3 linked regions of the Stegostoma tigrinum genome follow. The protein of the gene in region 1 purifies or fractionates together with the protein of each later gene. This does not show direct contact. Links are inferred from orthologs where the notes say so. Each region holds a gene or a part of one and is shown in the gene's direction. Other genes may lie near its edges. The genes, in order: fxr1, orc2 and tdrd3.

Evidence for each region.
Region 2: the proteins of fxr1 (region 1) and orc2 purify together in Homo sapiens (affinity purification with mass spectrometry; 4 studies listed by BioGRID and IntAct, with this or other methods). This does not show direct contact. The link is inferred for Stegostoma tigrinum from reciprocal best matches to the Homo sapiens genes FXR1 and ORC2.
Region 3: the proteins of fxr1 (region 1) and tdrd3 purify together in Homo sapiens (affinity purification with mass spectrometry; 3 studies listed by BioGRID and IntAct, with this or other methods). This does not show direct contact. The link is inferred for Stegostoma tigrinum from reciprocal best matches to the Homo sapiens genes FXR1 and TDRD3.

What each region holds. Positions count from the first base shown.
Region 1 is NC_081367.1:47,592,563-47,602,945, reverse strand, and holds the start of fxr1 (RNA-binding protein FXR1), read left to right. Parts: upstream 1-6,145; 5' UTR 6,146-6,338; coding exon 6,339-6,389; intron 6,390-10,383. UniProt on the Homo sapiens protein: mRNA-binding protein that acts as a regulator of mRNAs translation and/or stability, and which is required for various processes, such as neurogenesis, muscle development and spermatogenesis.
Region 2 is NC_081360.1:19,756,139-19,765,494, forward strand, and holds the start of orc2 (origin recognition complex subunit 2), read left to right. Parts: upstream 1-4,876; 5' UTR 4,877-4,917; coding exon 4,918-4,987; intron 4,988-6,633; coding exon of another isoform or gene 6,634-6,661; coding exon 6,662-6,808; intron 6,809-7,166; coding exon 7,167-7,268; intron 7,269-7,856; coding exon 7,857-7,943; intron 7,944-8,409; coding exon 8,410-8,441; intron 8,442-9,356. UniProt on the Homo sapiens protein: Component of the origin recognition complex (ORC) that binds origins of replication. DNA-binding is ATP-dependent. The specific DNA sequences that define origins of replication have not been identified yet.
Region 3 is NC_081359.1:3,343,006-3,353,216, reverse strand, and holds the start of tdrd3 (tudor domain-containing protein 3), read left to right. Parts: upstream 1-6,033; 5' UTR 6,034-6,236; coding exon 6,237-6,274; intron 6,275-10,211. UniProt on the Homo sapiens protein: Scaffolding protein that specifically recognizes and binds dimethylarginine-containing proteins. Plays a role in the regulation of translation of target mRNAs by binding Arg/Gly-rich motifs (GAR) in dimethylarginine-containing proteins.

The sequences.
Region 1 (10,383 bases):
TAGGAATAAAATAATTCAAATCTACTGCATACCATCCAGAATCACAGGGAGCATCAGAACAGTTGTATCAAATTTTAAAAATCATGTTGAGGGTTTATAGGCAAGATTATCCAGAAGACTCGCGTAATGGAATTCCATTTATACTTTTTGCAATAGGGGTATACCTAATGAATCAACAAAATTCAGTCCATCTTAATTATTTTTGGATATGAGGTAAGAGGACTACCGAAATGTATGAAGGAGTCATTGATGAGTCAGAGTTCAGACACTACATCTTTGGACTATGTCAACTTCTAGACTGAAATTAAAAAGAACGGGTGAGCTGGCTAAGCAGCATTTAAAAGTAGCACAGCGTGTGCTGAAACAGGAAGCAGACAAGAAATCAAGAATTTACAATTTTGCTAGTAGAGATCAAGTGTTAATGTTACTCCCAGTGGTCGGTAAACTTGTAAAGGCAAGGTTTAGTGGGACTTATCAAATCAACAAAAAATTGAGCGAGGTGAATTATTTGGTAAGAACACCAGATAAAAAGAAATGGGATTTAGATGCTTTGAGAGAAATAGGGAGAGTGGAAGAAGAGGTGGTGGAGTGGCATTGCTAGTCAGGGTTAGTATAGCAGCTACTGAGAGGCAGTTTGAGAATGATATGTCTACAGAGTCAGGTTGGGTTGAAATCCAGAACTAGAAAGGAGCAGTGACTTTGTTGGGTTTTTTTTTACAGACCTCCTAATAGTTGCAGAGAAGTAGAGGAGCAGATTGGGAGGCAGATACTGGAAAGGTGCATAAGTCACAGGGTTGTAGTCATGGGTGACTTCAACTTTCCAAATATTGATTGGAAACATTTTAGTTGTAATAGTTCAGATGGAGCAAATTTTGTCCAGTGCATTCAGGAAGATTCCTGACACAGCATGTAGATAGACCAACACAAGGAGAGACCACTTTGGATTTGGTGCTTGGTAATGAACCAGGCCAAGTGTTAGACCTGTTGGTAGGACAGCGTTTTGGCATAACAATCATAACTCTGTTACTTTTACAATAGTCATGGAAAAGCTTAGATACATACAGCAGGGTAATGTTTATAATTGGGGGAAAGGTAATTACAATCCTATTAGGCAAGAACTGGGTGACATAAATTGGGAACAGATGCTGTCAAGGAAGAGCACTATAGAAATGTGGAGATTGTTTAAGGAATGCATACTGCATGTGCTTATGTGGTCGAGTGAGGGAGCCTTGGTTCTCAAGAGAGGTCAAACAACTGGTTAAGAGGAAGAAGGATGCTTATATAAGGTTTAGGAAACAAGGAACGGAAAAAGGCTCTGGAGGGAGACAAGTTATACAGGAAGGAGCTGAAGAAAGAGCTTAGAAGAGCTTTAAGGGGGTATGAGAAAACCTTGGCAGATAGGATCGAGGAAAATTCCAAGGCTTTTTACACGTATGTGAGGAATAAGAGAATGACCAGAGAAAGGGTAGGGCCGATCAAGGATTGTACCGGGAATTTGTGCATGGAGCCTAAAGAGATAGGAGAGGTCCTTAATGAATACTTTTCTTCGGTATTCACAACTGAGAGGGACCTAGTTGTAGGGGAGGACGGTGTGAAACAGGCTGGTAGGCTAGAGGAGGTGGATGTTAGTAAGGAAGATGTGCCAGGAATTGTGAGGAAGTTGAAGATAGATAAATCCCCCGGGCCTGATGGGATTTATCCAAGGATTCTATGGGAAATGAGGGAAGAGATCATAGGTCCTTTGGCAATGATCTATTCATCCTCACTGTCCACGGGTATAGTTGCCGGAAGATTGGAGAGAGGCAAATGTCATTCCCTTGTTCAAAAAAGTCAATGGGGATAACCCCGGAAATTGCAGGCCAGTTAGTCTTATGTCAGTGGTGGGCAAATTATTGGAAAGGGCTTTAAGAGGGAGGATTTATGATCACTTGGAATGGCATAGTTTGATTCGTGATCGTCAGCATGGATTTGTGAGGGGTAGATCATACCTCACAAACCTTATTGAATTCTTTGAAGAGGTGACCAAACACTTGAAGGTAGAGCAGTGGGTGTGGTATATATGGATTTAAGTAAGACATTTGATAAGGTTCCCCATGGTAGGCTCATGCAGAAAGTAAGGAGGCATGGGATAGGGGGAAATATGGCAGATTGGATTCAGAATTGGCTGACCCTTAGAAGACAAAGGATGGTAGTGGACGGAAAATATTCAATATGGTGCTCAGTTTCAAGTGGTGTACCACACGGATCTTTCCTGGATCCTCTTCTATTTGTGATTTTTGTAAATGATTTGAATGAAGGAGTGAAAGGGTGGATTAGCAAGTTTGCGGATGATAAGAAGCTGGGTCAAGTTGTGGACAGTGCGGAGGGCCGTTCTAGGTTCCAGTGGGACATTCTAAGCCCTCGAGAGTTCCTCTAAGTGCTGTTCAACATGGTGGAGTACTGTTTCATCAACTGAGGCTGCACAATACTTGCTAATTAGGTTTCCTTGCCCATATTTGACCTGATGTCATGAGACTTCAATGTTCAGGACTCCTACCTGACTGGATGGCGCTATGCCACCACCTATATTTGGTCCGTCCTGCTAGTCATGTTGCTGTATGGCAGCATGTTGTGTAAGTGTCACACCTGCACCACGTGAAAGTAGCTTACCTGGATACAAGCAAATCCCCAGTCTGAAAATCAATCCTTATTGGAACAAAGGGGGACCATCATCAATCATTGTGTGCCATTACAATCAGTTAAGGTCCACCTCAGTTCAAGGGTTACCTACTGTCATTCATCCACTAAGGACTGCTTCCTTTGACTTTCAGACATGGCATTTGCCTGCAGCCCAAGTAGTGTGTTTGCCACATGAGCCATTTGCACATACTGTATGTATGGTATACGCATAGAATGCTTTCATTCAGCAACATATCTACCCCATCCCCTTAATTGTCCAGTAGAATGGTGACATGCTTCATGCCTTTCCTTCTGATTAAAAGCAGTGTAAGTGACAGAGGTTACTAGCCTGTAATTTAGGACTGAAGAGCCAATGTGCCAGAAAGCAATGCAAGTCAAAGAGGCTGACAGCCTCCGAGTTCATGAAATGTGAATAAATGCTAAAACAAGTAAGCTAAGAGACCTAAGATATATTGTGTGTAGATGAATGAAATGTGTATGTGTCTTTGTGCACAAAGCAGTCTGATAGAAGCATGCACGGCAAATGTGTCCCTGATATCGAAAGTGAGTGCTTTGTGGAGTTGGTCAGCAAAAACCCATAATGGTGAGGTAAGGCTAGTGGTTGGCAATGCTTTTTGCGTGGAGGAAGTATGGAAGAGGATGGTGTCTGTGGAGTTTGCAGGGAAATGGTAGTGATGGCAGAGATGGGTGCAGACCCAGAGAAACAAGTGATAAACTGTGGCTACCAGGTAACTGGTTTGTCTTTTATGTTGGGAATTGATACCATCTCCTTTCTTGGGACAGGAGAGGACAATGGAGAACTGTATAGAAATAAGGTGAGATTGGCTGTTAATAAGATGAAAATGCATGAAAATAAGGTAGTTGCCACTCATTAGTGAGATTCAAACTTTGCAATTTAAATCCTAAAGATAAAATTGGAAATGTTTTCTTGAAGTTGTGAATCTGACTTTTTTCAGTCTCGTTCTTTATCAATGTACCCAACATTAACCATACCATTCAAGACAGTGGAAAGTTCTACATTATTATTGTGTCAACACATACAACAGCCCCATCTGCACATTTTTAAATGTAGTTCTGCTTTACAAAACAATCATCACCAAATATCTGTCATTGATTTGCTTGCTATAGGAGTACTATGATCCCCATAGAGATTAATGACTAAAAGAAACGAATCTCCAAATGATGCCCCTCATCAGAAGGAGATAATGGATAGTTTGAATAATGAATGGATAAAAGTGAATAATGAATTCAATTTTTAAACCCATACTGTAACATTCTAACCCAAAATCAACACAAATTAATATGCATGAACAGATAATTAGTATTTCAATAGAAACAATAAATTACATTTGGAAAATTACATAATTGATACAATAAAAAAGCTCTCAAATTTTTCAGCATCACACTCTGCATAAATGTAGCACCATATGCAGTATCAAAGTCCTTTAACCTCTGCGCTCTGTAAGATCTCTCATTATCCATTGATTTCATCCATGAGTCACATTCATTGGCAGCCCACTTTCATTTGATTACTGTAAAGGTGCTAATACCAAAAAGATGCAGTTCTACGATTTCTCTCTCCCTTTGGTCAAAACAGTGCTATTTTGTAACAGTTTCAACTCAATTTTAACCTGACCACCCAATAGCAGCCAGGGCTCATATTTCTTGCAGCAAACCCATCCAGCTCTTTGAAAACCAAAAGAACTGTGGATGCTATAAACCTGGAACAAAAACAGAAGTTTGCATCTGGCAGCAGAGATAATAAGAACTGCAGATGCTGGAGAATCCAAGATAAAAAAGTGTGGGGCTGGATGAACACAGCAGGCCAAACAGCATCTTAGGAGCATAAAAGCTGACGTTTCGGGCCTGGACCCTTCATCAGAAAAGGTGTGAAGAAAAAAGTCAGAGTTAATGTTTCGGGTCTAGTGACCCTTCCTCAGAACAACCCATCCAGCTGTTTCCTGTGCTCGAACTATTCACACTGCTTTTAGGTTTCTGTCCCTTTTAAATAACTTGCACATTGAATCAGCAAGAGTTCCTTTATGCTCTGTTTATTTCTGCTGAACGTAAAGGTTTTTTGGAGAGTTCTGCATGCTTGTCATAAATACCAGAGGTTCTGTGTCCTTCAGGAGCAAAATAATTAAAACTCGATGCTACCAATTAGCTCCTACTTGGCTATCATTTCAATTGCAACCTCAAGTCGCTGGCTCAGTTCTCAGAAATGACCTTCCAGCCAGAAATTCCAATTATGCTTTAAAAATACAAATTTCTAACAAACTACATAGTTCATGGTATAAGTAAAAGGAACTGGACTAACTGTTATTCCTAAAGAAAGCAAAATCTTATGGTGGCTCACAATTTGCAAAAGCCTCGCACTGTGACCCTGTTGAGACTCCACCTGGAGTACAGTGAGCAGATCTGGGCACTACACCTGAGGAAGAATAAATTGGCCTTGGAGGGAGTACAACAGAGATTTATAAGAATTATATCTGAATGTCAGGGGTTGAGTTTTGAGGAGAGATTACATAAGGCTATATAAATTGTATATTTTCTCCAGCATGTAGAAGGGTATGGATGATTTGGTTGAAGTCTTCAAGCTATTAATAGGAAAAGACAGGGTAGATAAAGAATTCAAGAAACAAGGGCACAGTCTAAAAATTAGGGCCAGACCATTCAGGAGAGATGTTAAGCAGCACTTCAGTGTGTAAAGGTGATAGATATTTGGAACTCCCAGAAATGGTGTTTGACACTAAACCAGATGCTAATTTTAAATTTGAGAGTTTTTTTCTGAGACAAGGGTATTAACGAATGTGGGCCAAAGGCAGGTATGTAGAGTTTGGGCACAAATCAGCAATAATCTCATTGAATGGCACAATAGGCTTACTTGCTTATTCTAGTTGCTGTGATCCTATCTCATCGTCCCAATGTCAAATTACAACTCTGAGTAGTAATAAATTCAGAGAACACATATACTGTTCATGTGAATTAGTGAGCTGCAGTAATGTGTTGACATAAAGGATCAAGGGAAGTTTAATCTTGCAAACCTAGATACAGGTTAAAAAATAAACGCTATCGGGATATTTACAGTTACTTTGAGTAGGGATGAGAGTTGTAGGAGGCAAGAAAGTTCAGTATTGAATGTTGATCGTCCAAAGTTAGGACAGTGAGAAGGCAGGCAATGCTGAATCTTGGCTAGGATCATTAATGCTAAGTCCGGATGTGAAATTGGCAACTGCTTCAGCTTTCCAACCCGGCATTTAAATCATTGCACCTTTTCAAAAGGGACAATAACTCTTGTTCCTTTGATGGTTCTGCTGATATCCGACATTCTCCTTTGTAAGTAAGAACAACTTACTTTCTTTTAAAAGCGCAATGATGCATCTGACTGCGCGATCACAGTTTCAGGTGTAGTGTTGAATTGATTTACACGCTGTTTCACACTTCGCAATTGTTGATTTATTAGTCCTTGGAGATGAAAACCTTTACCAGTGGGACAATTCTGGCAACCATTCAGGAGGAGACTGAGTATCTGAGAGCAAGTGAGTTGATTCATAGACGGGATGTTGACATCCATTAGCTTTGGTGTCTGACTCCCATCGCTCGTTCCTGTGTGTGTACAAATTCTAGAAACACATCCCAGTCTCCCCTGCGCTTCCAATATGGAAGAGCTGACGGTCGAAGTGCGCGGCTCTAATGGAGCATTTTACAAGGTAAGCCCCCTTATCATCTACCGGAAATCTTGTTTTGGTGTTTTTAAAAAGTGTTACGACTGTGTTCAACACGGACATAAGGGCTGCATATAGCTGAGTGTGTAAAATGATGCGGCGCGGCTTTCTCTCGGCGCTAGACAGGTTGTAGTCGCTGTCGAAGCTGCAGGCCTTGCTGAAGAAAGTCACTAGGCCTTATTCTCACATTTCTTTGCCGTTCGTATTTATTTCTTCACGTTTCAGCTGTTTTTAAAATTGTGCTATTTTATAATGGACGATTAACTGAAGGATTTTGTTATTTTCTTATAATCTTTCAATGGCTGTTTAAAAATCAACTATTTTGACGGTTCTCCCATTTATTTCTGTTGCCCTTTGTGTATAGAAAGATAGTTTTAAAAACCTTTTACGTTTACCAACTGTTTTAAGTACGTCATTGGAGTACATACCTCACCGGCTGTTACTTGTCAGTCATGTTTTATCAAGTTTAGAAAACCGCTTGGAGTCTAATTTCAAGTTATTTTTAAACAAGGACGCATGTTGACGCCGCTTGACCGGAGGTATGTTATTTTTACCATAAAAGTGCAGAGGAAAGTTAAAATGACGAAAAGTCTATATGCGTGTTACTTTGAAAAGGGGTTGCTTAATGTGTGTAAATGATCAGTTAAAATAATTGCACAAAGAAATATCGAACATGTTTCTTTGCTTAGTGGTGAAAATGCGTTGAAAAGGTTTATTTCCTCTAGGTTTTATTAGATCTCGAATTCTTTTGACGCGTTTCAAACCTCAACTGTCTTAACACAATGCATCTTAATCTATTGAATTTGAACGCAGTAGAAACAGGCGAAGTATGAACCTGGGCGCGGGAGAACTTGACGTTAAATTTTTGCTTTAAAATAGTGTAAAATGATGTAAGCGTGAATATTATCGACAGATGACGAATATTTTCGAAGCTACTTTGAATAAATACGTTCTTAAGGTTTTAACCACGTTATGACGATGGCAAAGATGACGGTCCCATTCATGAGATAACAAGGTGTAGAGCTGGATAACATAGCAGGCCCAAGCAGCATCAGAGGGAAGCAGCAAGGCTGTCGCTTCGGGCCTAGACCCTGATCCCATTCATGATCGTTTTAAGTTTTTAAGAACGGAAAGGATAGGATCAAAGTTTTCAGTCTGGCTCTTGGTTAAGTGTCTTTTTTTTTTACTTTTCGGCAGATGTTTTGGATTATGAAAGCTTGTATATTTTGGATTTTTTATTAGGTCTGATAGTAGTTGTTATTTTCAAACCATAATAAGGCTGGTTTATGATTTTGCCTCCCTTGGACGAGAAGTTCTATCTTAATTGGAACCTCAGTCTTTTCTGTTATGACTATGAAATCCAGAAATTGTCGGAAAGAACTCAGATCATCACAACAACAACTTGAATATTTATTCTGTTCCCTTTTTAAAGCACAAGACATATCACACAAGCATTATAAAACAAAGTATGATACTGAGGCATGTATTAAGATAATACAACTTAAACAGAGATCGGTTTTAAGGAATATGCTAAAGGTGAAAAGTGAGGTGGAGGTGTAAGGAGGAAATTCAAGAACTTGGAGTCTGGACAGCTGAAATCAGTCCATACAAGTGGGGATGCACAGTGGCCACAACTGAAGTCATGTAGATATCTTGAAGCATTTTGGGGATGAAGGAGAATGATAACTTGTTTGTTTTCGGTTGAGATAATATTGCATATGGTGTCAGGGAGTTTCTTACTGGTTGATTGTTGCTATCTATCTCACCTTTAAGTACTTTTACTGATGTAGCCTCCAGAAAATTCTGGATATTCACAGTTGTCTGGGAGAAGAAACTCCTTTGTGTCTCAGTTGAAAATGAGAAATCTATAACCATGCCCTCTAGTTAAAGATCCCCCCCCACTAAAAGAAATCTCTTCTCAACATTTACCCTGGCAAGCCTCTTCAGAATCTGAGATAACAAGGTGTAGAGCTTGATGAACACAGCAGGCCAAGCAGCATCATAGGAGCAGGAAAGCTTCTGCAGTTCCTACTGTGTCTTCAGAGTCTTGTATCTTTCAATAATATTATGAAAGATTTACTAGCAGAGCATTTAGAAATACATAATATGGTCAAGCAGAGGCAGTTCAGGCATGACACTTCCTTTAAGAATTTAAGGAATTTAACAAGCAGCATAGCTAAAGGGGAAGCAGTGATATTATATCTGGATTTTCAGAAGGTGTTTAAGATACCAAACATTAGGCTACCGCATTAGATAAAATCTGTGATGTTGCCATAATATATTGGCATGGATGGAGGAGTGGTTAACTGATGGAAGACAGTTAAGATAAAGGGGACATTTTTAGGATGATCACTTGTGTGAGGCCATAGGGATCACCGTGCTGGGGCCACAGTTGCTTACAGTGTACTTTCGTGACTTGGATGAGAAAAGTGAATCACTATTGTAAAGTTTGCAGATGACAAGAATAGGTGGGAAGGTGACAATAACAGAGCCTTCAGATGAATGTAAACAAGTTACATGAGTGGGCAAAAATTGAGCAAATGGAATATCTTGTGGTGAAATGTAATGCTCTGTTCTCTGATGGGAAGAACAGTGGAGATGGATAATGTTCTGCAGAACAGGGATCTGGGAGTTCTCAACCATGAATAACAGAAAGCTAGCGTCCATCTTCAGCAGTTAACAGGAAAGCAAATGGAATATTGGCCTTTGAAACAAAGGAAATAGCATAGTAGAATAGACTATTACTGTACAAAGGCACTATTCGGACCACAGCCAGAAAACTGAACAATGTTGTGTCCCTTTTCTATGGACAAATATACTGGCATTGGAAGCAGTTCAGAGAAGGTTCACTAAGCTGATACTGGGTCTGAGGAAATGTTGAGTATGTTAGGCCTGTATTCCATTGGAATTTAGAAAAATGAGATCAACTTATTGAAAAATACAAGATTCTTGGATGACTACAACATTGATGTGATGGAGTTGTTTTTCCTCTCTTGTGGGAGAGTCTTAAGACCGGAGGGCATAATCTCAGAATAAGCGATTGCACATTTTAAATCAAATGAGAAAATTTCTTCTCAGTGGTTGGTGAATCTGTGGAATTCTTCACGACAGAGGGCTATTGAGGCTGGATCTTTAAAAATTTCGACCTTGAGTATACTTAAATAGTTAGAGAATCAAAGGTTATAAGGAACAAACAGAAAATGGAGTAGAGGATTATCAGGTCAGCAGCCTCCTTCTGCTCTTAGACTTTATAATCCTAAAATCATGCCTCGTTCTTCTAAACTGTAATGAATAAATACCTCACCTGGTCAGCTATTCCTGATAAGTTCACCTTTCATCTCAAAGTAATCTCTTCTGTACTGTCTCCATTGCTAGTTTAAAACAATTGTATTGTCAGGATTGCAATATAGGCCCCCTAATAGTCGCAAATAGAGCAGATATATAGACAGATTTCTGAAGGCTGCTAAACTAATTAACATAGTGATAGGAGATGCCAGTTTTCCCAACATTAACTGAGATGGTGATAGTGTGAAAGGTTTAGGGGAATGAAATTCTTAAAATGCACCTAGGAGAGCTTTTTAAGTCAGTATGTAGAAATCGCCACAAAAGAAGTTGCAGTCCTGGACTTCAATCACTCACTTCATGATATAATTTAAGTATCAGTGGGTGGAGCATTTTACAAACAGTGTATCTTCGATTCAAGATTGTTAGGGGGAAAGACAAGATGGGCCTAAAATCAAACTTCTAAGCAGTGGGAAGGCCACTTTTTTAAAATTTGAGTAGGACCAGATATGATTTGGCCATACTGAAAGCAGATACTTTTTAGGTAAATCGGTGTCAAAGCGGGGAGACACAGTCAAAAAGGAAATAGGGAACATACAGGGCCAACATCTTCCACTAAAGATAAAGGGTGGGACCAATGCATTGACTGACCCCTGGATGCCGAGGGGAAATACAAGATTGCATAAAAAGAAAAAGG
Region 2 (9,356 bases), on another chromosome or scaffold:
CTGGCAGATGCTCAGAGACAGGTCTCTGAACTGACGGTTCAGAGAAGTGAAAGTGCCATCTGGCGGGAAGTCAGGTATTGGTGGTTGAGTCGATGCATGTAAATCTGTCGTTCTTTGAACAAAAAGTTTTTTTTAAATTAAAAATGAACTATACTGTTAATGTAAGAGATGTGAATGTGATCTCGATCTTGTAAATACCTGTCACAGATTAAAGATTTTAAATGTGTAAATACAGGTGTATAAACATTCAGATCAGTCTGCAATGCAGAGAAATTATTAATCTGTAATCTCAGTACCTGGAATAAATACTGTGCTGTTTCTGGACATTTAGTTGTGTCTGTGTTTATTTCAGTTGGAACAGTGTTGATTAGATAATGAGTAATTAGAGTAAGAGGAATCTTCTATAATTTTAAATCAATCTCATCATCTTTAGTGTCTCTCACCTAATGTTTTCCATTTACCTGTTGGCTGTTTTATTTCATAGGAATAGGAGTCCATTCAGCCATTTGGCTCGACCCACCATTCAATATGATCATGGCTGATCGAACATTTCAATGCCTTTCACCCACCTAATCCCCATAACTCTGCACTCCATTGATAATCAGAAATCTATCAATCTCCACCTTAAACGTACTCAAAGACTGAGCTTTCGCAGCCCTCTGTGGTAGAGAATTCCAACATTCACCATTCCAGTGAGTTTAAAAAAAAAAAATCCTCCTCTTGGTTAATGAAGACTATATTACCTTGGCTACATATGGAGCAAAGAGATTGTTAAACTTGTGTAAGCACTGGTTTGGCCTCACCTAGGTTACTGCATCCAGTTCTGGACACCACACATTTGGAGGTATGGGATGGTATCAGAGAGAGTACAGAAAAGATTTGTGCGAATGGTCCAAAGGATCATGAACTTAAGTTCAATAGAGGGGAGAGGTTGACCCTGTTTTCCTTGAAGAAGGGAAGGCCGAGGAATGATTTGATGAAAGTTTCATCTAAAAGAAAAACATGAATCCAGACAACCATAAATATGGAAAACTATTCCCACTTGGGAAAGGATTAAGATTGATGTCCTGTACACTCAAGCAGGATAAGTCCAATCCCACCCAATCAATCTTCTTGCGATCATCAGTAAAGTGATGGAAGGTGTCATTTTACAGTGCTACCAAGCAGCACCTACTCAGCAATAACACTTTGGGTGATGCCCGGTTTGGGTTTTGCCAGGGCCATTTAGCTCCTGAAATTGTTACAGTCTTGGTTCAAACATGGACAAAAGAGCTGAGTTTCAGAGGGGACGTTGAGTGACAGCCCATGACACCAAGGCTGCAACTGATCAAGTGTGACGTCAAGAACCTCTAGCAAGACAAGTCAATGGGAATCTAGGGGAAAATTCCACTTGTTGGAGCCATAGCTAGAAGAAGGATTATTGTCTTTGTTCGAAGTCAGTCATCTCAGCTCCAGGATACCTTTGCAGGAGTTCCTCAGGGTAGTGTCCTATAGCCAGCCATCTTCAGGTGCTTTATCAATGTTCTCCCCTTCATCAGAAGGTCAGAAATGAGATGTTCACTGATAATTGCACAATATTCAGCACCATTCATGACAGATACTGAAGCAGTCCATTTTCAAATGCAACAAGACCTGTACATTATCCCAGGCTTGTTCTGATATGTGGCAAGTAATGTTTACTCCATACAGATTCTAGGCAATGATCATCTCCAATAAGAGACAATCCAAGCATAGCCCCTTGACATTCAGTTGCATTACCATCACAAACTCGAACTATCAACATTCGCGGAGTTACCATTGATCAGAAACTGAACTGGACTAGCCATGTATATACAGTAGTTAAAGGGAGCAGTTCAGATGTTGGGCATCTTGCTGAGAGTAACTCATCCCGAGACACGTTAAAGCCTGTCCACCATCTGCATGACGCAAGTCAGGAGAGTGATGAAAGATCTCCCCACTTGCCTGGATGAATGCAGCTCCAACCACACTCTAGTTGGACAAAGCAGCATGCTTGCTTGGTACCACATTCACAAGCATCCAGTCCTTCTACCATCAATGTTCAGTAGCAGCAGTGTGTACTATATACCAAGATGCACTGCAGAAATTCACCAGCGATCCTTAGATAGCACCTCCCAAGCTAGCAACCACTACCACCTAGAAGGACAAAGGCAGTAGCTACATGGGGACATCAGCACCTGTAAGTTCCCTTCAAGCTACTCACTCCATCCTGACTTCAAGTTTTATCGGAAGTCCTTTTATGTTGCTGGGTCTACTTCCTGGAATTCTCTGTCTAACAGCATATTGGATCTAATTACAGCACATGGATTGCAGTGCTTCGAGAAGTCAGCTCACCAGCACCTTTGAGGGCAGCTTGGGCTGGGCAATAAATGCTGGCTCAGCTATTGACACCCACATCCCATATGTGAACAAAAAAAAAATTGAGGGGGCACAAATTTCTGAAGTAATTGGCAAAAGTAACAATGGCAATATGAGGGGGGAAAAATACATTTTACAGCGAGCTGTTAGGATCTGGAATGTGCTGTCTGCAGAATATGGTGGAGGCAGGTTCTAAAATTAGATCACTACCTGAAAAGGAATAATGCACAGGGTTACAAGTAAAATGCAGAGGATTGGCATTAGATGATCAGAGAACCAGTATGGACACGATGAACTGAATAGACTTCTCTAGCCATTCTGCTTTCTATGAATGGAGTGTCCTACTGACACAGCTCCACTAGTCATCAAGTTCACTCAGATCTATCTGCATGGGTGAAAACAGAGTGGTTGCAAGTGAGCCATGGCACTAGTGTCCTATGTGCCCAATGCATACCATCCATGTTGGCACACAGGGGTTACCCCTCCCTTTCCGTGAGGGCACCTCGTCCCTCAGGGCACGATCACTCCCTATGTCACAGGCCACCTGAGACACAGCAGGAGTGAGAACAGTGTTCTGGCCTATATATACACCTGACTTCAATTTCATTGGCAACTGCCAACATATTACTCCGTCCTTGATGAAAAGCACAGGTCTAAGTGTGCTGAGAGAGTGAAATTTTCTGCTTACTCAATGCCAACGTGAGGGGGCAAAGTTACTATGGAACTGCTGCTTCCTGCCAAATTCAAATATACCCCCACAAACTAAGATGTGGGAAGAGTCACATACTCAGCAGTATGTTGCTTGTATGACTATGTCAAAACAACTCTGCCACAGGCAGTGAGACTGAAGAGTTGGTTAACGTACTTTTTTATAACACAGAAGAAAGTAATTACATTCCTCCAGCAAAAACCTGGATCAGCATTTGTCCTGTGTGAGGCATTCAGTTCGAGGATTGCAACATTTTGAATTGTTGGAAAAATGCTTCAATGCTTCCTGGTCACAAAAAAAATGTATGAGTACAATCTGGCCAATCACACTGGTCTCAATCATCAGCAATGTGCTGAAAGTGTTAACAACAGTACCGCATGTAGCATTTGATCAGTTTGGTGTCTGTCAGAACCACTCAGCTCCTGACATCACAATAAGCATAGTCCAAACATGAGCAAAAGGACTTATGGAATGCCTACAGTGCAGAAAGACACCAGTTGACCCATCAAATCTGTACCAACCATCCTAACAGCATCCCACACAGACGCAGCAACCCCTCCCCTCTCACACCCCCAATCCCTGTAACTGCATTTCCTTTGGCTAACCAGCTAACCTGTATATCCCTGGGCATTACAGGGCAACTTTTGACTTAGCTAATCCACCTAACCTGCACATCTTTGGACCGTGGGAGGAAACCAGCAGAAACCCACATAAACACAGGGACAATGTGCAAACTCCACACAGACAGTCACCTAGGCTGGAAATGAATCAAAGCCCTGGCACTGTGGGGCAACAATGCTAATCACTGTGCCTCCCTCCAGAGATGACAGTATCCGCCTTTGATAATCAAGGAAACATTTTGCTTTATATGGTTTGAAACAGCACAAGAAATCAGGAGGAAAGCTCTCCACTGTCTGGAGTCATACCTGGCACAAAGGAAGATGACTGTAGTTGTTGGAAGTCAAGCATCTCAGCTTCAGGACATCACTATATAGTTCCTCAGGATAGTTTTGTAGGCCCAAACATCTCCATCTGCCTCAGCAATGACCTCACATCCATTATCATGTCAGAAATGGGAATGTTTGTTTGCTAATGATTGCACTATGTCCAGCATCATTGGCAACTTCTCAGACACTGAAGCAGTCACATGTTCATTTGCAACAAGACCTGGACAATATTCAGGCTCGGGCTGATAAGTATTAAGTAACATTTGCTCCACAGAAGTGACAATTAATTATCAGAGTATCAAACTACTTCTCCCTGACTTTCAGTGACACTGGCATCACCATCTTGGGAATCTGCATTGCTGAGTTCACTGGGAAAGTTATATCAACATAGTAGTAACAAGGGCAATAAAAAAAATCAGGTGTCTGTGGAAAGTTGGTCCTGACTCCTCAAATTCTCTCCATCATTCTGCAAAATTCATTCTGTAAAACTGTAGTCCAAACATGCATTTAATCTCCCCAGACTAGAGAACCCATTTTCCTGCCTCCTATCATTTTACTGCACAGACCAGCCCTTATCAAACCCTCTATGATTTCACATTTATCAAGTGGGCCGGAAACATTAACTGTTTTCACAGAAGCTGCCTGGTCTGCTGCATATTGCCAGCATTTTCTTCTGATCGGTCTCACTCCGCTCCCTGGCCCCACCCTTCCAGCAACCCCGCCCACTTTTAACAACGCCCCCACAGCGGTAAACCACGCCCCTTTCCGGGTCGGCCCTCCGTGATTGGTTGTTTGGATCCGGGCTGTGATTGGACGATGCGTTACCGGATGCGGATTGGTTGCTGTTGACCTTTGGCCCGCGGTTAGTGGCTTGGCGGTTGAACGATGAAGGTCGGGGATGTGCGTTTCATTGGCGATGAGGAGGTGGCGGAGCACATCATCGAGAAACTGTCCGGTGAGCCCCGGGAGAGATACGGGGAAGCAGGCGTTAGAGAAGGAGGGAAGACTGGGGGATCTTTCCAAAAATTTGTACCCTCCCCCCCCATCATTTTCCCCTCCCCCCCGCCTTCCCCCTAAGTCCTTCCCCAGAATCTCATCCCACACCCCCTGCCTTCCCCCCCCAAATCCTACCCCAGAATCTCATCCCACACCCCCTGCCTTCCCCCCCCAAATCCTTCCCCAGAATCTCATCCCACACCCCCTGCCTTCCCCCCCCAAATCCTTCCCCAGAATCTCATCCCACACCCCCTGCCTTCCCCCCCAAATCCTTCCCCAGAATCTCACCCACACCCCCTGCCTTCCCCCCCCAAATCCTACCCCAGAATCTCATCCCACACCCCCTGCCTTCCCCCCCCAAATCCTACCCCAGAATCTCATCCCACACCCCCTGCCTTCCCCCCCCCCAAATCCTACCCCAGAATCTCATCCCACACCCCCAAATCCTACCCCAGAATCTCATCCCACACCCCCTGCCTTCCCCCCCAAATCCTACCCCAGAATCTCATCCCACACCCCCTGCCTTCCCCCCCCAAATCCTACCCCAGAATCTCATCCCACACCCCCTGCCTTCCCCCCCCCAAATCCTACCCCAGAATCTCATCCCACACCCCCAAATCCTACCCCAGAATCTCATCCCACACCCCCTGCCTTCCCCCCCAAATCCTACCCCAGAATCTCATCCCACACCCCCTGCCTTCCCCCCCAAATCCTACCCCAGAATCTCATCCCACACCCCCTGCCTTCCCCCCCAAATCCTACCCCAGAATCTCATCCCACACCCCCTGCCTTCCCCCCCAAATCCTACCCCAGAATCTCATCCCACATCCCCTGCCTTCCCCCCCAAATCCTACCCCAGAATCTCATCCCACACCCCCTGCCTTCCCCCCCAAATCCTACCCCAGAATCTCATCCCACACCCCCTGCCTTCCCCCCCAAATCCTACCCCAGAATCTCATCCCACACCCCCTGCCTTCCCCCCCAAATCCTACCCCAGAATCTCATCCCACACCCCCTGCCTTCCCCCCCAAATCCTACCGCAGAATCTCAACCCACACCCCTGCTTTCCCTCCAAATCTTACCCCAGAATCTCAACCCACACCCCTGCCTTTTCTCCAAATCCTACCCCAAAATGTCAACCCACACCCCTGCAAAGATTCCTCCCCCAACTCCCCTCTGTATTAAATCCTTTCCCACTCTCCAATACCTTGTTAAGGTATGCCTAAGCCTGGATCTCTCTCAAGTGATACCATGTTCTATACACATTTATATCTTCTGCATCAAAAAAAAAGATGCTGGAAAAGCTCAGCAGGTCTGGCAGCATCTGTGGAGGAGAAACCAAAGTTAACGTTTCGGGTCCAGTGACCCGAGTTCTGAGGAAGGGTTACCCGACCCGAAGCATTCACTCTGTTTTCTCCTCCACCAGTGCTGCCAGACCTGCTGAGCTTTTCCAGCAACCTCTGTTTTTGTTCCTGATTTACAGCACCTGCAGTTCCTTCGGTTTTTATACTCTTCTGCATATTGTTCTTCCCTGATCCTTTCAACCACCTGAGGACTGACTGAAACATTTTGTTGGAAAATGATTTCTGGCATCCTACTGTTTTAATGGGTTTCACGATGACTTACTTTACAGGAATTAATCAGAAGAACAATGTGCCTGGGACATTGCTAAGCGTGAAGCGGGCTTCCCAGAAATGGGAGAAGACAGAGCAGTCTCAGGAGAGTTTGGAAGTCTTTAATGAGCGTGATTACGTGGAGGTGCTTGGAGCAGGTGACTCAGGTACTGGCTATACTGCAGGCCGTACTCTATCTTGCTAAGAGAGTGTAGCCAATGGTGTCTCTGTGATTACTCAAGGTATGCCTAACCCTGGATCTCTCTCAGGTGATACTACATTCTCCTATACACATTTATATCTTCTGCATCAAAAAAAAAGATGCTGATACTCAAGGTTGTGAAACAAGACCAGGTCCAGAACCTATTACTGGAGTGTCAGGCCCCAGGTATTCACTTGTGGAGTAAGGAAGCTCCACAATTTGATATAAACGTCGGGAGCCTCGAGCTGAAATTGCACAGTTGTGCTGCTGCTGCGGTTGTGAAGATGGTGCAATTGCTTTAGCAACTCGAACTGTCCTTGTAGTTGCAGGTTGCCATGGTGACTTGAATGATGGGGTGTCTGCAGCTGGCCGAGATCTTTTCACCTTTCAAACCGCCAAAAGAGCAGACAAGATGGCAAAGCTCGGTGAGTTTTGGGGACCGCGTCTTGTTAGGGATGGGTAACTGTGCAGCGTTTGGAGACGAAGTGAGAAATGTGGTTCGTAGGTAGCGACGTGGGCCTCAGAAACAGGAGGCGGCGATGCACTTATGTAGCTGTAGAGACCCGATGCAGGTGCAGTGACTGCGGTTCATGATTTTGGGTGGGTGTGGGGTGCTGTTCATAGGTACAGGGAGAGCTGTGAAGTGAGAATCACCAGAGCAGCAGCTGACTAACTGAACTGTGAATCTATTGCCAAAAGATCAACAGTGTCATTTTGTTGACCTCAAACTGTCTATGTGTCAAAGGGACATTCCCATCTTTTGACGTTGAGAGTTATCGGAGAACATTTTCAAATCAGCATGGGCTTTGATACAGAGCTAAGCTCACTCTACACAGCCTCATCAAGCACACAATTCTGGGGTTGTGCGTGCGTGTGTCCTGGGAGAGGATGGCTGGGCTGAGGGCGTTGTTGGGGGCTGCTGGGGACAGGAACGACTACTCTCCCTGGAGGTTGCATGGCAGATGAGACCATTGATATTTAAAATGTTTACTTTATCCTGTTTTGACTCTCAGCCTCCGAACTGGCCCAGACTCCGAGAAAAAGTGTAACGTTCTGTTTACCTGACCAGCAGCTGACAGCAGATCAGATCAAGGATAACGGTAAGCCCTCAGATCCAAGCAAACATCACAAAAGGAAGCAAGCTGCCTGTACTGATCCTGTAACTAGGGAAGTGTCTGCATTGTAATAAACTATTCCTTTGCTGGAATGGGTACTGCCAATGCCATAGCACCCATCTGCCTTCAGGATCACAGGACTGTGATCCAGTGCCCAACCACGGGCTGGTGTTGGCTCTTTTATATCTGTCCTGACTCAGTGCACTGAGATCAGTTTTAGCCCCAGTTGCTCCCTCCCAGCTGAGACACCACAGCAACTATGCTGAATGTGAGATTGGATGGTCTCTGATTTGCCAAGAAGTTGCTTAATGGGAATGAAGCCACGCTGAGGCTCTGTGGGCCATCACCCAATCACAGCATAGTCTTGTTTCAGACATCTGATGGGAGCTGCTTCTTCCCAGCCTTTTGTGATTGTGTGATGTTGAAGGAATTTGTTTTGTTGTTTTTGCAGGACAATCAAACCAGTGCAAGACCCCATCTAAGGTAAGGATGAAGCAGATCATCCATTTACTCTCTGCCCTGAGGTTAAAGAGTAATAAACCAGGCGGGTTCACAGGATCAATCCTGGCACCTTGCAATCAGCAGACATCCAACTCTGACCCATGTATCATCCATGGGAGTTTTTGAAGAACAGAGCATGGACAATAAGACTGTAGGTTATAGGAACAGGAGTAGACCATTTGGCCCCTTCAGCCAGCTCCACCATTTAACAAGATCATGGCTGATCTGACACTGTTCACATCTACTTTCCTATCCTTTTTCCATAACCCGTGATTCCCCTACTGATCAAGAATCTATCCATCTCAGCTTTCAGTATACACAGGACTCTGTCCCTCAAAGGTGTCTGTGGCAAGAAGTACGAAAGATGTTCAACCCTCTGAGTGAAAAAAAATTCCTCCCCATCTCAGTCTTAAATTGCACTCCTTAATTCTGAGACTGTTCCCTCTGATCCTAGATCCTCCCATAAGGGGAAACATCTTCTCAGCATTTACCCTGTCAAGCTATTTAAGAATCCAATTTGTTTCAAAGTGATCATCTCTCATTCATTGAACAATACAGCACAGAACAGGCCCCCCTCAATGTTGCGCTGACCTGTGAACTAATCTAAGCCCCTCTCCCTACACTATCCCATCATTATCCATATGCTTATCCAAAGACTGTTTAAATGCCCCTAATGTGGCTGAGTTAACTACACTGGCAGGCAGTTCCACGCCCTTACCACTCTCTGAGTAAAGAACCTGCCTCTGACATCTGTCTTAAATCTCTCAATTTGTAGCTATGCCCCCGTGTACAAGCTGAAGTCATCATACTCAGCAAAAGACTCTCACTGTCCTCCCTATCTAATCCTCTGATCATCATCTTCTAAATTCCAGAGAGAGAAGTCTCAACCTGTTTAAC
Region 3 (10,211 bases), on another chromosome or scaffold:
CTACGACCTGAGATCCATCTTATCTGGATCTAGAATGAGTGATTGTTTTATGATGAAAGGCTAGAAAAGCTGGGCTCGTATCTTCTGGAGTTTAAAAGAACTGCATTTGACTTAATTGAAACAGTTCAGGTCCTGATGGGAATTGGTCAGGTGGATGTTCAAAGATGTTTCCTCTCGAGGGGAATCAAAAACTAGGGTCATGGTTTAAAGATAAGAGGGTATCCATTGTAAACAGAGGTGAGAAAAAAAATTCTCTTAAATGTTTGTGAGTTCTCAAAATGCAGAATTTTTAAATATTTTGAATGTAGAGGTAGAAAGATCATTGACTACTAAGGGGATGAAAAATTATGGGGGATATGCAGAAATGTAGAGTTGAGATTAAAATCAGATCAGCCTTATTGAATGGCTGAGAAGGCTGAAAGGACCAAGTGGCTTATTCTTATTCCTTGTTTGAAGCCCTGTAAAACTTCTGATACCTCCTCCCTCTCAATGTTAATTTGTTCAAGTAAATCACGGTCCACCTCCCTGATTTCCATACCGACATCATCTTTCTCTTTGATGAATACAAATGAAAAGCACTCAGCTAAAGCTTCAGCTCTGTCTTCCGGCTCCACGCACACTGCCACATTGTTGCCTTATGGACATTACTCGTTCCCCGCTTAGTCTGTTTTCCTAAATATATTTACAACACACTTTTGGATTTTCCATAATATGGGCTGTCAGCATTTCTCCATGTTGTGTCTTAACTCCCTTATTTCTTTTTTAAGTAATACCCTGCACTTTCTATACTTCTCTGGGCATCCGCCATTCTGAGCCCTCAACATTTGCCATCAGCTTCCTTTATTTTCCTTATTCAGTCCTTATGTCTGTTGACACCCAGGGTTATCTGGGCTTTTTGGTCCTGCGCTTTGCCTTTGTGGAAATATGTTGGCCCTGCACTCTCACTATTACCCTTTTGAATAACTTCCACATGTCTAGTGTGGATTTTCTAGCAAGTAGCTGGTGCCAGACCACTTTGGCCGAAGCCTTTCTTATTTCTTTCTTATCAAGTTAAAATTGATTTTTACCCAATTCTGTGTCATTATTCCTGATCTTTAACCATAATTTTTACCCTAAATCTTACTGAATTATGGTCACTATCGACAAGATGCTACCCAACTGACACATCTGCTATTGCCCTGCTTTGGTTGCTAAAATTTGTCCAGCATCTCTCCATGTCTTGTAGAACATTCTACGAGCTTCTTAAGAAAGCTCTTTGAGGTACATTTTAAGAATTTCACCCACTAAGCCTTTCACACTTTGTCTGTCCTACTTATTATTGGGGAAATTGAAATCCCCTAATATTATTATCCTATTAATTTTACACTTCTCAAATTTGTTGACATCTGTCTTTCCAGCAGAAACCTACATTAATGGGGGAGGGAGAAACTACAATCTTACAGAGATAAACCTGACTGAAATAAGGTTTAGAGATGATGGGAACTGCAGATGCTGGAAATTCCAAGATAATAAAATGTGAGGCTGGATGAACACAGCAGGCCAAGCAGCATCTCAGGAGCACAAAAGCTGACGTTTCAGGCCTAGACCCTTCATCAGAGAGGGGGATGGGGGGAGGGAACTGGAATAAATAGGGAGAGAGGGGGAGGCGGACCGAAGATGGAGAGTAAAGAAGATAGGTGGAGAGGGTGTAGGTGGGGAGGTAGGGAGGGGATAGGTCAGTCCAGGGAAGACGGACAGGTCAAAGAGGTGAGATGAGGTTAGTAGGTAGCTGGGGGTGCGGCTTGGGGTGGGAGGAAGGGATGGGTGAGAGGAAGAAGCGGTTAGGGAGGCAGAGACAGGTTGGACTGGTTTTGGGATGCAGTGGGTGGGGGGGAAGAGCTGGGCTGGTTGTGTGGTGCAGTGGGGGGAGGGGATGAACTGGGCTGGTTTAGGGATGCAGTAGGGGAAGGGGAGATTTTGAAACTGGTGAAGTCCACATTGATACCATATGGCTGCAGGGTTCCCAGGCGGAATATGAGTTGCTGTTCCTGCAACCTTCGGGTGGCATCATTGTGGCAGTGCAGGAGGCCCATGATGGACATGTCATCAAGAGAATGGGAGGGGGAGTGGAAATGGTTTGCGACTGGGAGGTGCAGTTGTTTGTTGCGAACTGAGCGGAGGTGTTCTGCAAAGCGGTCCCCAAGCCTCCGCTTGGTTTCCCCAATGTAGAGGAAGCCGCACCGGGTACAGTGGATGCAGTATACCACATTGGCAGATGTGCAGGTGAACCTCTGCTTAATGTGGAATGTCATCTTGGGGCCTGGGATGGGGGTGAGGGAGGAGGTGTGGGGACAAGTGTAGCATTTCCTGCGGTTGCAGGGGAAGGTGCCGGGTGTGGTGGGGTTGGAGGGCAGTGTGGAGCGAACAAGGGAGTCACGGAGAGAGTGGTCTCTCCGGAAAGCAGACAGGGGAGGGGATGGAAAAATGTCTTGGGTGGTGGGGTCGGATTGTAAATGGCGGAAGTGTCGGAGGATAATACGTTGTATCCGGAGGTTGGTAGGGTGGTGTGTGAGAACGAGGGGGATCCTCTTGGGGCGGTTGTGGCGGGGGCGGGGTGTGAGGGATGTGTTGCGGGAAATGCGGGAGACGCGGTCAAGGGCGTTCTCGATCACCGTGGGGGGAAAGTTGCGGTCCTTAAAGAACTTGGACATCTGGGATGTGCGGGAGTGGAATGTCTTATCGTGGGAGCAGATGCGGCGGAGGCGGAGGAATTGGGAATAGGGGATGGAATTTTTGCAGGAGGGTGGGTGGGAGGAGGTGTATTCTAGGTAGCTGTGGGAGTCGGTGGGCTTGAAATGGACATCAGTTACAAGCTGGTTGCCTGAGATGGAGACTGAGAGGTCCAGGAAGGTGAGGGATGTGCTGGAGATGGCCCAGGTGAACTGAAGGTTGGGGTGGAAGGTGTTGGTGAAGTGGATGAACTGTTCGATCTCCTCTGGGGAGCAAGAGGCGGCGCCGATACAGTCATCAATGTACCGGAGGAAGAGGTGGGGTTTGGGGCCTGTGTAGGTGCGGAAGAGGGACTGTTCCACGTAACCTACAAAGAGGCAGGCATAGCTGGGGCCCATGTGGGTGCCCATGGCCACCCCCTTAGTCTGTAGGAAGTGGGAGGAGTCAAAAGAGAAGTTGTTGAGTGTGAGGACGAGTTCAGCTAGGCGAATGAGAGTGTCGGTGGAGGGGGCCTGGTCGGGCCTGCGGGACAGGAAGAAGCAGAGGGCCTTGAGGCCATCTCCATGCGGAATGCAGGTGTACAGGGACTGGACGTCCATGGTGAATATGAGGTGTTGGGGGCCAGGGAATTGGAAGTCCTGGAGGAGGTGGAGGGCGTGGGTGGTGTCACGGACATAGGTGGGGAGTTCCTGGACCAAAGGGGAGAAAATGGAGTCCAGATAGGTGGAGATGAGTTCGGTGGGGCAGGAGCAGGCTGAGACGATGGGTCGGCCAGGGCAGGCAGGTTTGTGGATTTTGGGAAGGAGATAGAAACGGGCCGTGCGGGGTTGGGGAACAATGAGGTTGGAGGCTGTGGGTGGGAGGTCCCCTGAGGTGATGAGGTCATGAATGGTGTTGGATAAGGTTTATTTCTTTGGATACTATATTTGGAATGAACCAAACAATTCCATGATTCTTAGATTGGAAACAGGCCCCCTGGCCCAACAAGTCCACACTGTCCCCTTTTGAAGCATCCAACCCACACCCATCCCCATCACCCCACAACCCACACACCCCTGAACACCACGGGAAATTTAGGATGGCCGATCCACCTAGACTGCACATCTTTGGACTGTGGGAGGAAATCAGAGCACCCAGAGGAAACCCACACAGACGCGAGGAGAATGTGCAAACTCCACACAGACAGTCACCTGAGGCTGGAATCGAACCTGGGTCCCTGGTGCTGTGAGGCTGCAGTGCTAACCACTGAGCCACCATGCCGCATTTAAGGTCCTTAGCATCTGAGGTCCTTCTGCCGAAGTATAATGATGTGGAGATGCCAGTGATGAACTCGGGTGAACACGTTCAGAAATCACACAACACCAGGCTATAGTCCAACTGGTTTATTTGAAAACAAGCTTTCAGAGTGTCTCTCCTTCTTCAGGTGTGAGTGAGATAGGTACTACCAGACACAGAGATAGTAGGAACTGCTGATGCTGGAGTCTGAGATAACAAGGTGTGGAGCTGGATGAACACAGTGGGCCAGGCAGCATCAGAGTAGCAGGGAAGGTGACATTTCAGGTCTGGACTCTTCTTTTCTGAAGAAGGGTACAGACCTGAAATGTCAGCTTTCCTGCTCTGATGTTGCCTGATCTTAGTATCAGACACAGAATTTGTAAGTAAAAGATCAAAGGGTCACCGCACTGATCAGGATGTATTAAACAAACCTGAGGTGCTGTTAAATCTTTAATCAGTTAGAAGGCTTTAATTGATTAATATGTATATGTAAATCCCAAAATTCCTTTAAAATTACTGTCTTGAGAGAACTAAAGGTTTTATCAGTGTAAAGAAGTGACATTTTGGGTCAGACAATGCATATCAGGTGTGAGGCTTTGTTTAGAATCTGTGTTTTGGTTTGGAGAATCTCTTCCTGCCTCCTTGACCTGTCCATCCTCCCTGGACTGACCTATCCCCTCCCCACCTATACTCTCCTCTATCCATCTTTGGTCCGCCTCCCCCTCTCTCCCTATTTATTCCAGAACCGTCTCCCCATCCCCCTCTCTGATGAAGGGTCTAGGCCCGAAACATCAGCTTTTGTGCTCCTGAGATGCTGCTTGGCCTGCTGTGTTCATCCAGCTCCACACTTTATTATCTTGGATTCTACAGCATCTGCAGTTCCCATTATCACTCTCACATGCATACACTCTTTCTCTGTCTCTCTCTTCCCCCAACACACACACATACACTCACACAAATGCATGCACGCGCGCACACACACACACACACACACACAAACGTGAATCTATGGGGTGAATTTCTATTTTGAGATACATTCTATTTACTTCAAAAAGCATACAATTTATAGTCAGTCAATATAGCATTTTACAAATTCTTACTTTTGAAGCAAAACCAGTCTGACTCCAAACCAAAACACAAACAGATTTTAAACAAAGCCTCACACCTAACATGCATTGTCTGACCTAAAATGTCACCTCTTCTTTACACTGATAAAACCCTTAGCTCTCTCAGGACAGTGACTTGAAAGGAATTTTGGGATTTACATATACATATTACTCAATTAAAATCTTCTAACTAATTAAAGATTTAACAGCATCACAGGTTTGTTGAATACATCCTGATCAGTGGTCTGGCCCTTTGATCTTTTACTTACAAATTCTGTGTCTGACACTATCTACCTCACTTACACCTGAAGGAGAGACGCTCCGAAAACTTGTGATATCAAATCAACCTGTTGGACTATAACCTGGTGTTGTGCGACGTCTCACAAAAGTATATCAAGGGTTCGTTAAGTTCTCAGACCCCTCCTTGCTTTGAATTGAATGTAAATAGCTCGTGCATAAGTAGAAAAGGTTTTTTTTTGCAACTGCCGTGAAGCTGTGAGGAATGCCAAATTCCAGTGTTCTTTTCTCTCTGCAAAGATTTGTGCGGAGCTGGAGGAACACAACAGGTCAGGCAGCATCAGAGAAGCAGGAGAGTCAACGTTTGGGCTCGGGACCCTTCAGAGACCTGCTTTTGTACCTCTGAATATACACAGATGTACTTTAAAGAGTAAAGTATATTGTTGCGATTTTAATAATTCATTCTTAGCATTTTACTTTTGGAAAAGCATGTGCCGATACTGTCTGGAGGTAAAAGAACACACCGGGATCGCTTACGTTTCCCATATTACCTCTGCCGCTGATTTGTTGCAACAATCAAACTCCGCCTCTCTGCCGTGGTCACTCATCGCTAGTTTCTGAATGGCGGCTGGTGACAGAGCTTTCTCACCGATTGGTCAGATGAACTGTCAATCGCCGCCCGAGACGTGGCCGTTGGAATTGCGTGTGTGACGCCATCGCGTGGAGGAGGGGCGGCGGTGGCTGTGGCCGCTGCTGGAAGTGACCGCGCTTAGGCCCGAGCGTGGAGCCGCCGGCCTATACTATGAGGTTCACCTTCCTCTCACTGGGGAGCTGCCGTCGTGATTCGCAGCTCGGTTTCCTTTCGTGCGTCGGCCGCGCCGTGTTCGCTAGTAGGGCGCCCGCGTGAAGATGGCGGACACGGGCCTGGCTCTGGCCCAGGAAGGCTGGTGAGTGAAGCTTGAGGGCGAGCAGCCGGAGGCCTGAGTGGGAGCAGGGGGACGGCCAGTGGCTCAGGCTGTCACGCTTACGGACTCCGCTGTCAGTGCATTGAAGTTAGAACTCCTTGTACTAAACTTGGCTACCATTGGGTAGACTAGGCCTCATTCCAAATGTGTTAGTATGGATTTGTGATCGTCTTTTATGCTCCCTTAGTTTTAAAATAAATATTTTGGAATTTCGATGATTAATATGGGTTGTGTAGTTGTCAACTTGGCAGAAAGACGATAGTGTCCTTCAGGGTGATCCGGTTATGAGTTGAAGGATTTGATTTTCTGTTTCTAGGACGTATATTGCTTTTTAGTAAAACATTTTAAGGCAAGCTCACTTGGCCACAGTTATGTCATCACTGAGACTACCTCCGCTTCTGGAATATGGATAGAAGATTGGCTGTCTGGCAGGAAGCAGAGAGTGGGGATAAGGGGGTGTTTCTCAGGACGGCAACTGATGATAAGTGGTGTTCTGCAAGCTTCAGTTCCGGGGCCACAACTTTTCACTTTATACATTAATGATCTAGATGAAGGAACTGTGGAAATTCTGGCTAAGTTGGCAGACGATACAAAGATCGATGGAGGGACAGGTAGTATCGAGGTGGAGAGGCTGCTGAAGCATTTGGGCAGGTAGGAGAGTGGGTAAAGAAGTGACAGATGGAGTATAATGTGGGAAAGTGAGGCCATGCATTTGGTAAGAAGAATAAAAGCATGAACTATTTTCTAAATGGGGAGAAAATCCGGAAGTCTGAAGTGCATAGGGACTTGGGAGTTCTAGTCCAGGATTCTCTCAAGGTAAACTTGCAGGTTGAGTCAGTAATCAGGAAGGTAAATGCAATGTTGGTGTTTATTTTGAGGACTTGAATATTAAAGCAGGGATGTACTACTGAGGCTTTATAAGGCTCTGGTTAGGCCACTAGGTGTTCTTGTGCATCAGTCAATGAAAGTAAGCATGCAGGTACAGCAGGCAGTGAAGAAAGCTAATAGCATGCTGGCCCTCATAACAAGAGGAATTGAGTATAGGAGCAAAGAGGTCCTTTAGCTGTACAGGGCCCTGGTGAGACCGCACCTGGAGTATTGAGTGCAGTTTTGGTCTCCAAATTTGAGGAAGGACATTCTTGCTATTGAGGGAGTGCAGCGTAGGTTCACGATGTCAATTCCCGGAATGGCGGGGCTATCATGTGTTGAAAGATTGGAGCGATTGGGCTTGTATACACTTGAATTTAGAAGGATGAGAGGGGATCTGAATGAGACATATAAGATTATTAAGGGATTGGACACTGTGGAGGCAGGAAGCATGTTTCCGCTGATGGGTGAGTCCAGCACCAGGGGACACAGTTTAAAAATAAAGGGTAAGCATTTAGAACAGAGTTGAGGTAAAAACTTCTTCACCCAGAGAGTGGTGGATATATGGAATGCTCTGCCCCAGAAGGCAGTGGAGGCCAACTGTCTGGATACTTTCAAGAAAGAGATGGACAGAGCTCTTAAAGACAGTGGAATCAAGGGTTATGGGGATAAGGCAGGAACAGGATACTGATTGTGGATGATCAGCCATGATCATAATGAATGGTGGTGCTGGCTCGAAGGGCCAAATGGCCTACTCCAGCACCTATTGTCTATTGTCCATTTGGAGTATTGTGTGCAGGTTTGGGCCCCAAATCTCCAGGGTCCTAGCCCTGGACCGGGTTCAGAGGAGGTTCACAAGAATGGGGCCAGGAATGAAAAGCTTAACATATGACAAATGTTTGAGGACTCTGGGACTGTCCTCATTGGAGTTTAGAAGGATGAAGGGGGAATGAACTGAAACTTTCAGAATACTGAATGGCCTGGACAAAGTGGATGTTGGGAAGATGTTTCCATTGGTAGCAGAGTCTAGGATCTGAGGGCACAGCCTTAATGTAAAGGTATAACCTTTTTGGAACAGAGATAAGGAGAAACCTTTTCAGCCACAGTGTGGTGAATCTATGGAATTTACTGTTACAGAAGGCTGTGGAGGCCAGGCCATTGTGCACATTTAAGGCTGAGATAGATACGTTCTTGATGATCAAAGGGATCAAGGGTTACAGGGAGAAAGCAGGAGAATGGGTTGAGTAACTTATCAGCCATGGTCTAATTTCTGCTCCTCTGCCTTATGGTCTTATTGCATTACTTCACTCATCTCAACGGATCAAATCCTGAAGCTGTTATTTGCACCTTGATTTCTTGTTCAGCTATTTCAATGTGCTAGGGTTGGTCTATATATTACCTTCTGTAAATGTAACGTCACTCAAAGCTCACTTTTCTTGTCTTAACTTTAAATCACTCTTACCTATTCTCCAGTAATGGCTGAAGTCCTCTTTGCAGCAGCTCCTGTAACATATCAACTTTAAAATTCCTATTCTTAAATCTTCCCATGACCACATACTTTAACTCTGACCTTTTGTGAATTCACAATCAAAATTGGTGGTCATGCCTTCAATTTCCAAGCTCTGCAATTGTTTTCCCACATCACTTTGCCTTTCCACCTCAATTTTCTCCTTTAGGATTCTTCTTAACTTACGTCCTTGACCAAGCATTTGATCATCTGACCTGATGTTTCCTTACGTGACTTGATGTCATACTTTGTTTTATGTTGCTTTTGTGAAGTGCCTTGGGATGTTTGATTCCATGGAAACTGTTGTTTCTTCCCTACCAGCAGGCCATTCAAAGAGCTAAAGAAAACCAGTGATTTCTTTGCCTATTTGCAAAGCCCTGAATTTCCCTACCTGCACTTTTTGAGACATTTTGCCCTTTTAAAATTTAAAATTAGGCTTTTTTTTGCCACCAGTTCTAAAGCTGCATCCTGATTGTCAATGATGCACTACTGCAAAAACAATGTGCTTTGGGGTGGCTTCCCATAACTAGCATGTCTGAGAAAAGCAACTTTTTTTATTTTTGCACACATTTGTCGATAACTTGAACTGCAACAAAAAGATTAAACAATCCTTAACTAGTGTTTGTGAAGATGCTCGTTTTTAATGTTTATCTGCGCAGTGATTTGGAGTTGTGACGTTTCTAACGGTTAAGACCAGGCATTTGTTTTCCTTGATGCTCTGCAGTTACGCTTCAGAATTTTTGAAAGTAAGTATAAACAAATAATGGAGATAACATTCAACCATTGACAGGGAGCAAAAGTAACGGTTTCAGTCTTCCCAATATTCTGTTGGTCAAATTTTATGCCCATCCCATACTTAATGTTGGATAAGCAGTATGAAAATCAGCAAGTACGGTTGAGAGAAATGGTGAGCAAGAGGGGACTGTCATCAGCATACAAGTAGTATATGATCGTCACTGATGAGCAACATTAGATTTTATTTTAAATTTGTTCATGGGATGTGGACATTGCTGTCTAAGTCAGCATTTATTGTTCTGGTGGTAAGCTGCCTTCTTGAACTGCAGCAGTCCTCCCGCAATAATTTTGGGTTGGGAGTTCCAGGATTTTAACCTAGCAACAATAAAGGAATGGTGATGTTATTTCAAAGCTGGCTGGTGTGTGGCTTCAAGGAAATCTTGCAGGTTCTGTGTTCCCATGCATCTGCTGCATTTGTCCTTTCTGATTAAATGGCAGAGGATTCAAGAATGAAAGGTTTTGTGGAAAGGCTTGTTGTTTACAACAGTGCATCTTGTAGATGGTAATGCTGGTGCTCCTGACTGGTGGATGTGGTCCCAGTCAAGTGGGTGGCTTAAATGATTTTGGAGCTGTACGAATCCAGCCAAGTAGGGAGTATTCTATGATAATGGGAACTGCAGATGCTGGAGAATCCAAAATAATGAAGTGCGAAGCTGAATGAACACAGCCGGTCAAGCAGCATCTCGGGAGCACAAAAGCTGACGTTTCGGGCCTAGTCCCTTCATCAGAGAGGGGGATGGGGTGAGGGTT